Callithrix jacchus: one gene and its partner. The protein of the gene in region 1 purifies or fractionates together with the protein of each later gene. This does not show direct contact. Links are inferred from orthologs where the notes say so. Each region holds a gene or a part of one and is shown on either strand. Other genes may lie near its edges.

Region 1 (8,420 bases):
CGACGGCTCATGCCTGTAATCTCAGAACTTTGGGAGGCTGCGGTGGGAGGATCGATTGAGCCCAGGAATCGAAGAACAGCCTGGGAAACAAAGTGAGACTTCATCTCTAGAACCAAAAAAATTAAGAAATTACCTGGTTATGGTGGCACACGCCTGTAGTCCCAGCTACTCAGGAGGCAGGAGAATCACTTGAACCTGGGAGTTGAAGTTTGCAGTGAGCCAAAATCAAGCCATTGCACTCTAGCCTGGGCAAGAGTGAAACTCTGTCTCAAAAAAAAGAAAAAAAAATCTTATTCTGAGGTAAGGTAGAAAAAAAATCATTAAATTACTTCATCTCTTTCCTGGTTCCTTTGAACACTAATCTAGTTTAATTACTCTGCATAGTTATAGCATATTTGTAGCTGCTTTTGTAAACAGAACTAGTTTTTTTTTTTAATAACAAATAATGTATATTTCATGATTTGGATTAAATAAGGTTTACTTTAAAAATTATCACTGTCAGCATAGGTAATATTTATTTAGGATTTAACTTACAACAACCTTATATGAGATACTATTATTATTAATTTATTTATTTTTTGAGACAGAGTCTCATTCTGTCACCTAGGCTGGAGTGCAGTGGTGCAATCTTAGCTCACTGCAACCTTTGCCTCCTGGGTTCAAATGATTCTCTTGCCTCAGCCTCCTGAGTAGCTGGGATTATAGGCATGCCACCACACCAGGCTAATTTTTGTATATTTTGTAGAGACAGGGTTTCACTTTGTTGGCCAGGCTGGTCTCAAACTCCTGATCCCAAGTGATCCACCTGCCTTGGCCTCCCAAAGTGCTGGGATTACAGGTGTGAGCCACTACACATGGCTGAGCTATTATTATTATAATCCCCATGTCACCGATGAAGAACCTGAGGCACAAAGAGGTTAACTTGCTCAAAGTTCCCCAGATAACAAGTAGCGGTGCCAGGAAAGAAACTCTGGCAGTTTCAAGTTCCCTCCCTGCCACTTCCCAGCCAGCTACTTTTGATTCAGTAGATCTGGAATGGGGCCCTTGGAATTAGAAGTTAAGTCCCCGGGTGATTCTGAAGCAAAACCAGGTTTGAGAACCATCCTGTTAATTCACTTTGCACTGGATGGCTAGTTACTTACCTGTGTCTTAGAAATAATCGTTCATATAGTTAGTCAAGTAACACCATACCCTTTCATTTCAGTAGTAAGCAAATTTGCTCGGAATCCGCTTCAGCGTTCTTCAGGCACAGTGCTGAGGGGGCAGATGAACATTACGAAATTGTCTCTGACCCCACAGCACAGACCACCTAGTTTAAAGGCACATGTGAGAAGGCAATCAGGGAGAGGTCACAAAGCTTGAGTAGAAGGTGTAAGGTGGCGGGCTTCCTGGGAGGGGGGTGTGAGCTGGATCTTGAAAAGTGAGCATGAAAAAAAAAAAAAAAGAAAAGTGAGCATGATTTGGAGTTGGAGGAGAGAAGGGGGAACAGTACCTGTTAGAGGAACAACTGAATGGCATTGAGAGTTCCTTTTGGGAAGTAGCAGGAAATAAATTTGGAAAAGCAAGTTAGGACAAGATATGGTAAACCTTAAGTGCCAGGTCCAAATTTGGATTGAACCCTACACACAATATGGAACTACTGAAGTTTGGAAGGACAAAATTATAATGATGAAGGTATCAATTTACAAGGAATAATCTGCCATCAGTCATGACACAAGCGGAAGGATAAAGAAGAGGTAAGAACCAGGAAGAGCATTTAGAAGGTTAAAGAACCAACAAAAGTGTGGGAGAATATCTTAGTAAAGGAGTGGATATATACAGAAGTGAGTCACCGGGTCACATTATGCACTGATCAGGCTGAGCGATTTCACGCAAATTGCCTAACATCTCTGAGCCTTAAGTTTTTTTTAAATGAAAAATGGGTATGATGATAATGACTGACTCAAAACAGGCAAAGGATTTCTCTAGGATGGTGACAGCTCTGGGATACAAGGTGAATGGGCCAGGATTTTGAGTTTGTTTCCAGGTCTGCATGAATTAAAGAATGTGCTATGAATGGCAACAGGCACATTCACTTTGTGGAAGATGAGGGGGGACTAATGGCTGGTGAATGTTCCACGAATTATGAAGAAATTACTCTTTACACTCTTATGATGTAGGTATTTTTATCCCAAATTAACAGTTGACTTAACTAGAGCAAAAATTAGTAATTTGAGTTACTGGATATGACTCAAATTTGAGTAACTGAATATAAACCAAAGCCCACTAAAATCTAAAACTTGGGCTTTTCCAACTAGTACATCATATTGTCGAGTTGAAAGTTGTATTTTATGTCACTGCTTTTGGCCTAATGTTCTAGTCTGTTCAGACTATTTTGAATTTTGATTCTGACATCCATCAAATTAATTATCCCTCCAAACTTTGGGTCATCTGAGAGGGACATCGATTTTGCTGAGCTGGGGGAGAAAGATGGAGGAAGGAGGTTTTAAAGTAGAAAGGGAGCAGCAGGTGGCCTTGACCTGTTAGGCAGGAGGCAAGGTTATCTGCCCAAAGTAAATGCAAATCTGGTTGTTAAGTGGACATAAAAGTCAATGGAATAAATTTGCTGCTAAGAATGATCGTGTAGGCAGGTGAGGGTAAAGAATAGAAAGGAGTTAAGAACCAGGAATCTCGGAGGCAGTGAGAAGAGGGAGGGTGGTGTAGGTGAACCAAATACTCCTATTAAGAAAAAACAGAGGGCAAAGGAAACATACAATAAAGGGAAGGCTGACCCACTCAGCCTTTCTATTAGCTGGAGGAAGTCACAGAATAGGAGGCCAAGAATATTTCCCACCCCAACACCCTGCACAAATGAAAGGATTATGACATACCTAAGTGACAAATGCATTACTATTACAGATACTTAGATGTAGACAAAATACATTTTTTTTTTTGAGACAGTCTTGCCCTGTTGCCCAGGCTGGAGTGCAATGGCATGATCTCGGCTCACTGCAACCTCTGCCTCCCAGGTTTAAGCAATTCTCCTGCCTCAGCCTCCCAAATAGCTGGGACTACAGGTGTCTGCCACCACACCTGGCTAATTTTTTTTATCTTTAGTAGAAACTGGGGGGGGGGGTCACCATGTTGGCCAGGCTGGTCTCGAACTCCTGACCTACGTGATTCGCCCACCTTGGCCTCCCAAAGTGCCGGGATTACAGGCATGAGCCACCGCGCCCGGCCAAGACATTTCGATAGAGGGGATCACATAGACCAGTGGGATGTTTCTTCTGAGACAAACCCATGTTATGCAGTAAACTGTGGACTCTGGGGACAGCCCTCTGCTCTGACTGAGGCCTTCTGTCCCGAGTGGTACTGGAATCTGTGTAGCATTTTAGTTTGGAGGAAACAAAATTACACTCATCACATCTTTTGCCCAGATGACAGAATTCGAAATCCCCCGGGGGTTGTTCGTGGAATGAGCCGCTCGGTGACGTTGTGAGCCGTGCTATTAATCAGCCATCCCTCACTAGGTGCGGGGGGGCCACCACGCTTCCTCCAGCCCGTCACCATAGCAGCAGGTGGCTATTTGTGCTGCCAAAATTAGTATTTAGTGTGAATATTCCAAATAGCCAATTATGACAGTTAATTTCAAATGAGATGACTTCGAACTACACGTGAAAATACTATTTTACATCATGCCTCATGCCATCCCTATATGTAATCAAAGCCTTCTAGTTTTGATTTGTCCTTCCAAAGACCAAGGGTAGAGTAAATGTCAAAATCTGCCAAACAGCAGTTAGTGAAAGAGTCTGAAGAGGGAAAGCCTAGTTAGGTTTGACCTTAGAAGTGATTTTTAAAAAGAGACACATAGATAAAATGTGTCTGGAGCCAAATCCTAAGGCCTGCAGGTGTTAAGGGGGGGGTCGAGAATCAGCTGCACGTTCCTTGGAAGTCCGCGCCGATTCTGGGAGGCACCTGGCCACCTCTGACTTTCTGATCTGTGGTGCATCCCCCAGTCCCGGTCGACAAAAGTGGGGAGTCGAGTTCCAGGCCAGCGGGGGACGGGGGTTGTGCGCACAGGGGAGGGGCAGGAGGACTGCGAGCCCCTCTCCTTTGGGGTGCTTCGGGCCCTTTCTTCAGAGGCTGGTGGTGTCCCCGACCCAAGCAGCTCATTCTCGCTGGCGAGGTCCGAAGTGGCGGGAACGGGTCCTCCGCGGCGGCCCCAAGGCGAGGGAGGCTGTAAAACCTGGCGGAGGATCCAGCGCGCCGGGTCGGGGATGGCTCGGGTGTCAGGGGGCAGGGGCCGTGGGCTCGCAGGTAAAGAGCCCCACGTGAGCGGGGGCCACGGCCACAGAAGGGGCGCCCCCGGGGCGGCGGGCGGGCGGGAGCTTTCCGGGCCCCTCCCGCGTCTCGGGCTGGCGGGGCGATGGCGACGACGGTTTCCCGGCTCCCCCGCCCCGGACGCCGATGGCGGTGCGTTCCGGCCCTCCCCCAACAGCTTCTCCCCCGCGGTCGCCGGAGCCGGTGAGGCCGGGAGGGCGGGGAGCCGTGGAGAGAAGGCGAGAGGGCGGAGGTTGCGTGGTGCAGGCGGCGGCGGCGGCGGCGGGAGGAGGAGGGCCGGGCGGGCAGGGGAGGAGGAGGAGGCGGGCTCCGTGTCGCACGCAGCTCCAGGCGGGGCAGCCCGGGTGGCTGAGGGACGCAGCCAGACCTTGGCGGGACGGGGCTTTCGCCGGGGCCCAGGCCCAGCGACCAGGCGGAGGCGTCGCGGGAGCCTTTTGGGCACTACGGAGATGCGGGTGAGTGTCGGCCGCCGCAGGGCCGAAAGGAGGTGGTGGCGGCGGCGCAGGCCCGGCCCCGAGCCGCGGTGTCGCAGTGACTCGGGCCGCGGTTGCCGAGCCCAGGCGCCGGGCGAGGCCTGAGCCGCCGAAACGCGGCCGGGCAGAATGGCGGCCGGGCCCGGGGGCTCGTGGGCGGAGGACGCCGGGGGCGGCAGGGGAGCGAGCGGGGCTGGGCCCTGAGTCACCCCGGACGGGCCGGGGCGGCCAGGCCCGGACTACGCACTGGGAAAAAGCCCGATTCATCGCGCCCAGAGGCGGCGGCCTGGTGGCGCCGGCCCCTTTCCCCGTCGGGACCGGGCTGGGTCCGCGGAGGCTGGGCCGGCGTATGGCCCCGGGCGACTTGGGCGTTCGCGCCTCGCCTCGTGAGGCGATCTCCGCGGGACACCGGGACCCCATGCCCTTGCCCCTTCTCGCCCTCACGACCACGCTTCTCCTCGGCGCCGCTTTCCGGCCGACGCGTGCCCTCCTGTGAGCCCCGGGCTCGCGCGCGCAACCAGCCGCCAAGCCGGGCTCTCTCGCTTTCCGGTTCCCTGCCCGCGGCTCTCGGGTTCCGCGCCTGCATTATTGCGACCGTGCAGGACGCTATTATTGGCTAACAGCCGTCCTTTTGCCCAGTTGTCCTCGGGGAGCGGGCTGGGCTGGCGCTCAGAGATGGGAGCCCGGCGGCAAAACCGAACGGAGCCCCACGGCGCCCGCCTAGCGCTCGCGAGTCTGGCCGGGCCCTGCGCCGCGGCCTCGGCGCGCCCCCGGCCCCAACGGGAGCGCGCGCCATGACCCTGGAGGTAACCGGGCGAGCGCAAGCTGCGGGGACTTGGGGTCCCCAGGCTCGGGGTTCGTGCGATTTTTGCCCCAAGATCTGAAAGACCCCTGTTTCTGCCACCGGTGCAATATTGTGTAGCGCAGACGTAAGATAATTAAGAAAGAGAGGAATGCTTGTAGACACTGCTTGAAATGAATCCCCAAAGTTAAGGTTTTCTGCCTGGCTGGCTTTGCCAAAAAGAGGATTCTCTTTTCCGACTGGGTCACTCTCGGTTGCTTCTGGTTCGTAGTAGGCGTTCGTGGTAAGTGCACAAATGCTGAATTGCAGTCTTCTTAAATATTTATTTGCTCAGTGTAATTGCTCTTTCCTGTAGTAGCATTAAAATCGTCAAAAGTTCTGAGTGGAGTAAACGATCACACTTTTTGGAATAATCTTAACGAAGCGGCAGAAGAGAAACTAGATTCCTTTTTTACTTCAAGCCAGGAGCTTCTAGGACCTAACGCCTCGCGGAAGTGTGTGCAGTTTTAAGTTTAACACTTCATTTCATGGTGCACCCGAAAATGTACCCAGTTTTTTGAAATCCTGGAGAGTGGATTATGTAGTAAAATATGTAATGACATTTAAAATGTAAAACCAGTCATTTTGTTTGAAAACAATATTTGGCGATGAGATTTTTCTTTGTTTAAAGGAGGTTTTTGGATATTGGAAAATGTTTTACTTCGAGGTTCTATTTGTTGTTTTCCATGGTGAGTCGAAATAGTTGCATTGCATTTCAAATTCCAAAGCATGCAAACACAAGACTGGCTCGCTTTAACTCTATTATGCCCATTTTTGGAGGTTTCAGGAGAGTGTTCCTTAAGCTTGAGAGGGATGGCTGAATTGCTTTCTAAATATGTTAAACTTCTTTCCTCATTGGCTTCATCTTTTAAAAACTGTTTTGTCAGACAACAAACCAACTTTAAATATGCTAGGGTTTTTCACCAATTTGTAAAAGCTTCCTTCCTTGAGAGCCACATGCTCAGGTCCTTCCCCACCCCCCACTCCCAATGTGTGTACCACATCAGAAGACAGACACGCATGCCTGAGCTGATTCTGCATGGTTTCCTTAGATATTATAGTTCATTAGACTCTTGCCACTTACTGAATGTTATCTTCTAGCTGTAATTAACTACAATACAGCCTTATTTCCCATACATTTCCGATTCTGAATTCCTTCAGCGCAGGGGATATTCCCTGTTTATTTTTGCGTCTCCAGAGTAACAACTTGGTTATGGTGGTGCCTCAATTGCTTATTTTTGAATGAGTGAGTTTTCTGGAATAATTCTAACTTAGTGTTTGAAAACATGCCCTGATTGTTGGCTGCAGAAAACACAGTCGTTGCACTTAAGCCGGTTAAGAATGCAAGCTTTATTATACACTTAAGTAAAATCGATTCTCTCATCTCTCCTTTGCCACTCTCCCTTCCCATTTCTCCACTTCGCACCTCCCCACAGCCCCCCAGTATCTAGTACAGGGCCCCAACAGAAAAATGCCCAGGTTTTCTATACCTGTGAAGTCCAGGAAAGTGCCAAGAGAGAACAAGTTGTGAAACTTTAGCTTTCTTTCCCATTAAAACTAGTTTTAAGATGCGGAATTTTTTTTTACTTTTTTTGGAAACACAATCAAACGCGATCAGGATCAGGTCCTCCCACCCCCGGTTGAGTATCCAGCTTTGCCTTTGAAATGAAGCAGTTTGGTAGTTGAGGCGTCTCCTTGTTGGAAAGGTGAGGCCAGCCCCTTGGTTCTGCTGAAGTGGGATAGGAAGTTGCTGTGGGAGGAACCATCCCTGGGTCACTGAGGCCCTTTCATCAGAATATCATTCCTAGTATACCCAGAGGCATTGTGTCTGTCTTTCAGCATGGAAAATTAAAATGAATGTACTTTAAATTGAGGAGTTGTTACTTGCCATTCTTCAAATTAAAAACATTAGGACCATAAGAACTTATGAAGGTGTTTTGGTTTGTTTTGTTTTGCTGTTTCAGCCCTTTGTAGGTCCCAAAGCCATGACCTTGAGTCACTCTGGAATAAAGTGTCTTTGGGGGACTGTCAGGTTCATTTTGAACTTGTTTTAGGTATGTCTGGAGAAAAGAGTTAACCATTTGAAGGGCCAATTCTAAGTTTGTCTTGCTTTTTAAAAATATCTGGGAGTTTATCCGTGTGTTTGCTTTGCAAATGAAGAAATGAACATTAAATGGGAAGTAGATCCAATTTGGGTAAAAGTCTTGTGTTTGCCGAGGACATAATTTCCTCTTTATAGAAGTTTCTTGTTTATAAAATGAACATTGAGTAAGCACACTATAAACAGGATGATAACATTTAATGACTTAAGTTTTTTATTCATGCATGGAGGTATTTCACTTCTAAAAATTCTGTGATGGAGAGATGTAGTCATTTATTTTTGCTTAGGTATAGAGCGTCTTGATTTGGGAGAGAGGACTTGAGTCTAGTTAAAGCTTACCTTTGCAGGGCCAGTATTTGCTCATTTGTGAAATGAGATGGTTTTTTAATTGACATTGTTGATTTCCTTAGGCCCTCAAAGTATGTGGATTCCATGGGAATGCCACAGCTTTGAACATTAACAGCATTTTGGGAAAAACGGTCTCAAAGAACATCAAGTATTGTATTCATGTTTGAAAAGCAGGGTTGTGAAGCCTAAGTTTGATGTATATTTTTTCCCTTGGGAAACATGGACCAAGTAAGCACTGTTCTGCCCTTCCTAGTGTTCCCTGCACGCTTCAGTGCTGTTGCAGTTCCATTCAAGATGTGACTCTTTGCCTTTTCTTTCACTGACGGCTCAGGGAGCC
Region 2 (7,777 bases), on another chromosome or scaffold:
AGTTTTGATCCTAGGAGACGGGGTGATGGTGGTACAGAGACCAGAAATGGGAACACTGGGACAGGAGGAGCAGGATTGGGAGAAGAAATTGGGAAAAATCAAACCCCATTAGAGATACTTGTTTTTCCTTGTGATTCAGTGCTGCCGCTAAAGGTCATATGGCCAAACCTTCTCTGTGCTGCCTTTTTTGTCCAGAGAGGTGACATGACTCTTCCCTGGGCAGTACTCTGTCTTCTGTTCCCCCTCCCCCGCCCCCTGAGCTTCCTGGGAGTCTTTGATGAGGCCCTGATATTGTACTGGTTGAAGCTAGGACCCTAATTTTGTTAGTTTATAAGAAAGCCGAAATCTTGAGCAGGAGACCCCCTTTTATGATAAAATTATTGTATTTGTTAGATCATATTTGTATTATAGTGCCAAGTATAGGAAGGAGAAAACTGGAAGGAAAAACAACTCCAAAATGATTGGGCTCTGTGAAGCTTTCTTATAGGTGTCCTTTCCTGAGCTGCTTGATGTCAGCGGTTTTGGCTTATTCAAAGGCATCATTTTCTTCTGGAAATTGAAGCTTTTCCCAGCTTAAAATGGCCATCTCCATTCTTTCATTTGCTATCTTGTGTCCTAATTTTAGGTATAGTTGGCCTTCCATATCCGTGGGTTCTGCATTCATGGATTCAGCTGACCACAGATCAAAAGTATTTGAGGGAAGTGCAGCAGGAAGCAGGTTTCTAAACACAGGAGTGGCAAAATTTGATAGATCTTTTGAAAATACCACTCTTACTATGGTGTGGTGATCATTTTAGAGTACAAGAGTGGATGCAGGACTAGCTTAATTTAGCCATTCAATAGTGTATATATATTTCAGAACACCATGTTGTACATGAGAAATATATGCCTTTAATATTTTTCAGTTAAAATACTTTTTTAAAAAAGTAGATGCAGGAGAAACAGGGTATTGTGGCTGAGGAAAGAGGAGATGGCAGCTTGGAGCAGGGCAGTGGTGAGGAGTTGAAGAGAAGAGGTTGGATTCAAGATGAAGTTTGGGGCTGAATGGACAGGATGTGGTTGGTGACTGATGAGATGTTGGGTGTTGAGAATGAGGGAGGTGGCAGTGGTGTCATATGGGTTTGTGGCTAGTGCAGCTGTATTATACATTGACTAATGCATTTTGAAAGTATCAAATCCTCACACAGATTCTTTAGGAGTAAAACAGTACATAACACGTTGTTACAGGCATTAAATAAGTTAATTTCTATAATGTACTTAGAACAGCGCTCTGTACTAAAGTATTTGTTATGAGATTGGTAGTCTGGTGATGTACTTGATTGTTCAGGTTCTTTCTGCTCCCTGCTTTTTGATCCTTTAATTACTCCTCTTGAATTCTGCCAGCCACCAAGAGGGTTAAAAATGGAACTTTCATGACTTAAGTCAGATTCCAAAAAAATCTGAAGAAGGACAAAGTTTTAAAGTTACCTGCAGACCTCATAGAGAATCTTGAGGGGTCATGGCAATACCAGATGTGAAGCAGAGAGAATTAGTACTGAAGCTCAAGGGATTGAACTTGTTCTGCTTGAAAGTTGCCCAGCCCCTGGGAAAGCAGAAGTGGCAGGAAGGTAGTGTTAAAGAAAAAGCGATGCTGACACCTTTTAAAGAGACCACTGTGACGGGGTTTTGCACTGGGGAGGGAGATCAGGCTCAACTCCAGATGCGCCAACCACAGGTGGGGATTTATAGCCAGGGAGGAGAGTGGGGGCTTGGTGGATGAAAAATTCCTAGTAATTCTGGTAATTCTTTGCTAAATGTACCTAACAGGATTATTACTGGAAAGAACAGTTTCATACTATTCCAAAACTAAAGACATCTCTTGGTAGACACCTGCAGTAGTTAACTTGAATACTAGTTACCATTCCTACATGGCAGGTCAATCTATTCTGTTAACTGAGGTTACATTTTGTAACCAGTTTATCATCTTGGAAGGTTCACCAGGAGGTTACACTTTATGAAGTGCATTATAAATACTGTCCTGGAATTGTTTTTTAATAGTTGTGGTGCGTCCCTGCTAATGTATCAACTTTTGGAAAATTCTAGAATAAAATCTGTAGTCAGATGCAATGGCAGGTGGCCCAGAACACTGGGTCCTTGATGACCCTTTACCTATGAATTGGAGGGAACCCAGAACCTTTCAGGAAAAATTGGCACTGCTCCTTTCTCTTCCCTCCTATCTTAGGCCTTTAAATTTTGAGTGGCAAGGAGTTGGAGTTGTACCTTCCCTCTGTTATCTTCTGGTAGCACCAGCTAGTCTGTGGGTTAAATGCAGAGCCATCCGCTCTATCAGGCAGCCAGTCTTGGCTAAGGTGGGTTTGTTCACTAAATTGGGGTAGGGGAAAGTGATTCCACTTTCTGGGGTTTGTGGGGAGGGGGAAATGTTCTTTCACTGAGAGTAAACCCACTGGAGAAGATGGTTTTAAACAAAATGTGTGACTGAGGCAAAAATCTAAATCATTCGAGGTTTACTGAGCCGGAGGTTGAGGGTTTATCCAGGGAAAACACTAGTCACAAATGAGTGGCCATGTACTCTGAAGAGGTTTTCAATACATGTTTCTAAAGGAGGGAAAGAAGGAAGGGGAAGGATAGGCCCAAGGTGAATGGTTACATTCCTGTGAGATTTTAGTCCAGTAAATTTATATTTTACAGAGGATAAGGTAAACCTTTTGAAGAAAGGAAGAACCAGTTGTGCGTCTCAGAGTAGGTGGATGAATTACTGATCTCATCTTGTTTTTGTGCAGCATCTGGGAAGATAAGCTTGTAATGAATGTTATCAGTGTGGAGTTGAACAGATTGCAGTCCTAAAGTTACAATTGACATGTCCTTGTTTTATGGGAGGATGTATTTAAAGGTTTGAGGCCAGCAGAGATTTTCCTTATGAATGACTTGTGGAAACACTCATCTGGCAATGCCTAAAGCCTTTTGCATTTCCTGGCGGGGTGGTGGGAGTGTGTGTGGGGTAAGTCTGGCTAATGTAGAATGCAACAACACAGGGTTGTGAAGTAGCAGCTGTTAATTTGGGGTGAGGATGGGGCTTCACTTGACTCAGCCTCTAGGCTTAACTTTCCCTTTGGCATAAGGAGTTTGGAGGTCCCGAGATTTTTTTTATTCTCCTTTACTTTGGGTACGTGTTTGTTAAATGAATGGGAGTGGTGCCTTTAGAATATTCAGATAAGATGTTGAGTAGACAATTGTAAAAGAGCATCTAGAGCTTAGAAAACAGTAGGAAAGGTTGAGATCTAGAAGTCATAAGGTTTCTAAAACCTAAATCCCTCAGTGTCAGGAGATGTGTGTGGGTTTTAATGTAGAGTCTGTCATTATATTGTCCTGGGGTAGTGAGTTCTCTGTCATTGGTCGTCATTGTTTGTAAAATAAAACTGGACTGTTGATCTCACAGGCCTCTTCTAAGTCTGAAAATTTGTTCTAAAGAAGAAAATATATTCTCTCAAAATTTCGTGGGGTAGTCTATAAGAGAAGAAAGATCCTTTAGTAATGGTTTGGGGTATATGATGTCATGAAAGTAATACTCTTTTTACTGTCCAAATCAGTAATTTATTGTGTAGAGAATTGGAAATAGACCAGAGGCAGTTTCCCAGAATAGGTCATTGTTTGGTGTTAGCAGTTGGTCATTCATGAATCTGCATACCCTTTGTTTCCTTAATGTAACTGCCTTAGGTCTGTCAAGGTAGAAGTCATGTGGTCAAATTAAATGGAAGCAGTGTGTTAGGTATTGGATTCATTTTCCTGTCCCCAAAGCACCTCTGTTTGGTAATGCTGGCAGAAGACATACATGTGGCCGACAATGATGAAAAAAAGCTCTACATCACTGATCATTAGAGAAATGCAAATCAAAACCACAATGCAATTCCATCCCACACTAGTTAGAATGGCTAGTAAAAAGTAAAAAAATAACAGATGCTGGCTAGTTTGTGGAGAAAAAGAAATGCTTAAACACTGTTGGTGGAAGTATAAATTAGTTTAACCATCGTGGAAGACAGTGTGGTGATTTCTCAAAGACCTAAAGACAGAAATACCATTCGACCCAGCAGTCCCATTACTGGGTATATACTCAAAGGAATATAAATTATTCTGTTATAAAGACACATGCACATGTATGTTCATTGCAACACTATTCACAATAGCAAAGACATGGAATCAACCTGAATGCCCATCAGTGATAAACTGGACAAAGAAAAATGGTACATATATGCCATGGAATACTGTGAAGCCATAAAAAAAAGAATGAGAACATGTCTTTTGCAGGGACACGAATGGAGCTGGAGGCCATTATCATTAGCAAACCTACACAGAGACAGAAAACCAAAGACTGCATGTTCTCACTTATAGTGGGAGCTAAATGATGAAAATACATGGACACAAAGAGGAGCACAACAGATACTGGGGCCTACCAGAGGGTGGAGGGTGGGAGGAGGGAGAGGATCAAGAAAAACAACTAATGGATACTGGGCTTATTACCTGGGTGATGAAATAATTTGCACAACAAACCCCATGACACACATTTCCCTATGTAACAAATCACATGTACATGTATCCCTGAACTTAAAAAAAAAAAATCAAATCGATAGTCTGTAAATAAGCTGCCAGAGGCTCCTGTGAAACCTGGGAGCTGAGGCCAGAGCGAGTAGGCTGTCTCTGTTACACTCTGCCTCCTCCTGGTGGTAGCAGCTTTTAGTCCTTGTCACAGAATTGAACATTTTCCTGCTTTGGAAGGAACTTTTAAAGGCTAATTCACTGGCTTCCCTGGAGGAAGTGAATAAAGCCTGTATTTCAGTGATATAGTAGTTTCCTGAGGCTGCTGTAACAAAGTTCCCCAAATTTGGTGGCCTAAAACCAGAAATTTATTCTGCACAGTTCAGGAGGCCAGAAGTCTGAAATTGAGATGGCAGTAGGGGTAGTGCTACCTCGGAAGGCTCTAGGGGAGAGTCTGTTTTTTTTTGTTTCTTCACAGCTTCAGTTTCTGCCTCTGTGGTCACACTGCCTTTTCTTCTCTGTCTCTCCATTGTTAATCTTTCATTATGAGGACACTGTCACTCGATTTAGGGCCCATCTGGATAAGCCAGATGATTTCATTGCAATATCCTTACTGAGTAACATAGTGAGACCCCATCTCTACAAAAAAATTAAAAATATCCTTAATTACATCTGCAAAAATTCTTTTTCCAAATAAGCCTACATGTCTAGGTTTCAGAGATTTGATGTGGATATACCTTTTGGAGGGGCAGGGGGCACTATTCACCACACTATAGGTGGTTAGCACCTTTTCTCTCCTTTAAAAAAAAGTCTTTAAATTCTCACTGCTACCCCAGCTCTGTGTAAACCAGTGTTTCCTTTTGTTCCTAACCAGGAGGCAGCTTGCACCTTGGTCCACCGAGGGTTGCTGCTCAGTACATAGCTGCTTTGTTATTTGTGTTGATTGTATTATTTCTTAGTCCAAATAGCCATTTAGTTTTTTTAATAGAAAAAAATTGTAATTAAGATTTTGCATAATGTTTGTAAAGAATGGAAAACGTGACAAGATCAAAGAAGATATAAAATAAGATTTTAAAAATGTAAAAAAATGGAAAACTTGATAGCTTAAGCCACTAAATTGCCCTTACCAGGGAGTGCAAGTCATTAACAGTAACATTTCATTTTGTAACATGTATAGAATAATTTCTGTTTTATGGCTGTCTTTAACTGTTGCCCTTGTTTCTCTGCAGGTCTTTTAGATAACCCTGAACTTCGTGTGGTCCTTGTCTTTGGTTATAATTGCTGTAAGGTGGGAGCCAATAATTTTCTGCAGCAAGTAGTCAGCACTTTCAGTGATATGAATATCATCTTGGCTGGAGGCCAGGTGGACAACCTGTCATCACTGACTTCTGAAAAGTATGTCTTGTGTGCTTCTGATTTCCTCTGTGAATGAAGGGAAATGGTCTCAGGTTTTGTCACTTTGGGGTTCACAATTTTAAAAACATGCTTAAAGAATTGTTAAGAATTGTGAACCCCTAAGTTTATTCCATTTTGCAGTGGACATTGGTTAAGGGGCTTATTCAACATAACTCTGCTTATGGTTGGAGAATTACATTTTTAAATACATTGTCCTTTAAGAACTTCTTAGTTGGACTCACATTCTCCCTAAAACTGATGTTGCCATTGCCCATTGATCTTTCCTTTGACAGGTGTGGTACTCTGTGTGACCTCAATATGTCACTTCCTCTCTAGTTTCCTCCTTTAAAGGAAACACATGGTTAAAGTGTATCTTTATGGCAGAACTTCTCAGAGCCTTTAATATGCTCCATGCTTTGGAAATCTGGAAGGGGAATAGTATTACCTGTGACAGTTCCCAAATCTATTTGGTCACAAAACCTTTTGTCCACAGAGCATCTTGCAAGTCCTACTGATTTTTGGAAATTCTGTATTAGATCTTTTGAAAGGCTTTTTCAAGATCAAAAATTGTGGAACTTTGATTTTTGTTACTAAGGCTCTTGCTTTCAAAGATAAAAATATTTGCTGTTCTGTCTTGGAAGCCATTACTTCCTTTCCATCTTGCATGAAAGTACATACCATTTTGAGTTTGAACCAGTTAGGTGGACATAAATGTCATTGGTTTCTAACAGGAAAATGAGACCCTGTCCCACCCTCAATGCTTGTAAAGACTAGCATTTGTTTCCCACTCTGTTTAATATTCGCATCCTAGAGTGGTGACATGGGGACACTCTATGTCCCCATGTCAGACTATTGGAGGTCAGTATCCATAAGAATAATGTAAGTCATCCTAGTTACAGTTTCTCTTCTGGTAGTCTCTGCCCAGAATAGACCTAGGAAAATAGTTAAAGTTGAGGTCCCTGGAGTAGAGGTCCCTGGACTGCCAGGGAGGAGGAAGAGAGGAAAGCCAAGTACTTTGAATTCCAGGCAGTAGGATATCAAACACTGGGTTTCGGGCATACATACACCAAATTCTTGGTGGCTAAGTTATTTCCCCTCTTGCCTAATTTTTCCTGTGTCTTTACTATTAACTTTTAAATTGTATATCAATAGGGCAATGGTGATTCAACATACAGTGTACCTTTGAAATGCAGATATCTCACTCAAACTTAGAACATCTGAGGCACTAGCTTGTTAGTGTAGCTATTTGTATATCATCTACTTTTTATACCTAATATGAGAAACACCCCCCCCATCATTACTCTTCACATGACTCATTAATTTTAATGTGGCCTTCATATTCTGTCAGTGAGTGGGTAAGACAAACCATTGAGTAAATGAGTGCTCCATTTTAATAAAGTCCAGATAACCCAACTGACCCAGGGCCCCAAAAGGAAGGTGAATCATTCTTTGAGGCAAGATTGACAAGTGTATTAACAATTGTGTACCAAAGAGGAAATCTGATAAATGTGATAAAGTTTTAAAAGCAGCAGAGGACTTCAGAAGATGGATTTTGCCCCTCAGAAACTCATTTTACTACTAGCTAGCTTTATTATCTTAGTTACTTACCCTTTTTTGAGTCTTAGTTTCTCACTGATCCAGTGAATCTTGCCCATTTTACAGATTCAGATGTTGGAACCATGATAGAAATGTAACATACTTGTTTCTCCCCTAGTGGATGTTCACTATATTATGCTTTATAACTCTTATCAATGTTGCATTTTCTTTTGTAAGGATAAAATACTTCATTTTTTAAAAAATACTAGGCAAATACAGAAAGCATGAGTTTTTAACCATCAAATTAAGCTGAACT

The links. The genes of interacting proteins can lie anywhere in the genome.
Region 2: the proteins of CUL1 (region 1) and FBXO22 purify together in Homo sapiens (affinity purification with mass spectrometry; 11 studies listed by BioGRID and IntAct, with this or other methods). This does not show direct contact. The link is inferred for Callithrix jacchus from reciprocal best matches to the Homo sapiens genes CUL1 and FBXO22.

What each region holds. Positions count from the first base shown.
Region 1 is NC_133512.1:99,021,002-99,029,421, reverse strand, and holds the start of CUL1 (cullin-1), read left to right. Parts: upstream 1-4,117; 5' UTR 4,118-4,296; intron 4,297-4,384; exon of another isoform or gene 4,385-4,503; intron 4,504-4,648; exon of another isoform or gene 4,649-4,775; intron 4,776-5,430; exon of another isoform or gene 5,431-5,878; intron 5,879-8,420. UniProt on the Homo sapiens protein: Core component of multiple cullin-RING-based SCF (SKP1-CUL1-F-box protein) E3 ubiquitin-protein ligase complexes, which mediate the ubiquitination of proteins involved in cell cycle progression, signal transduction and transcription.
Region 2 is NC_133509.1:25,071,546-25,079,322, reverse strand, and holds part of FBXO22 (F-box only protein 22), read left to right. Parts: intron 1-5,759; coding exon 5,760-5,925; intron 5,926-7,777. UniProt on the Homo sapiens protein: Substrate-recognition component of the SCF (SKP1-CUL1-F-box protein)-type E3 ubiquitin ligase complex that is implicated in the control of various cellular processes such as cell cycle control, transcriptional regulation, DNA damage repair, and apoptosis.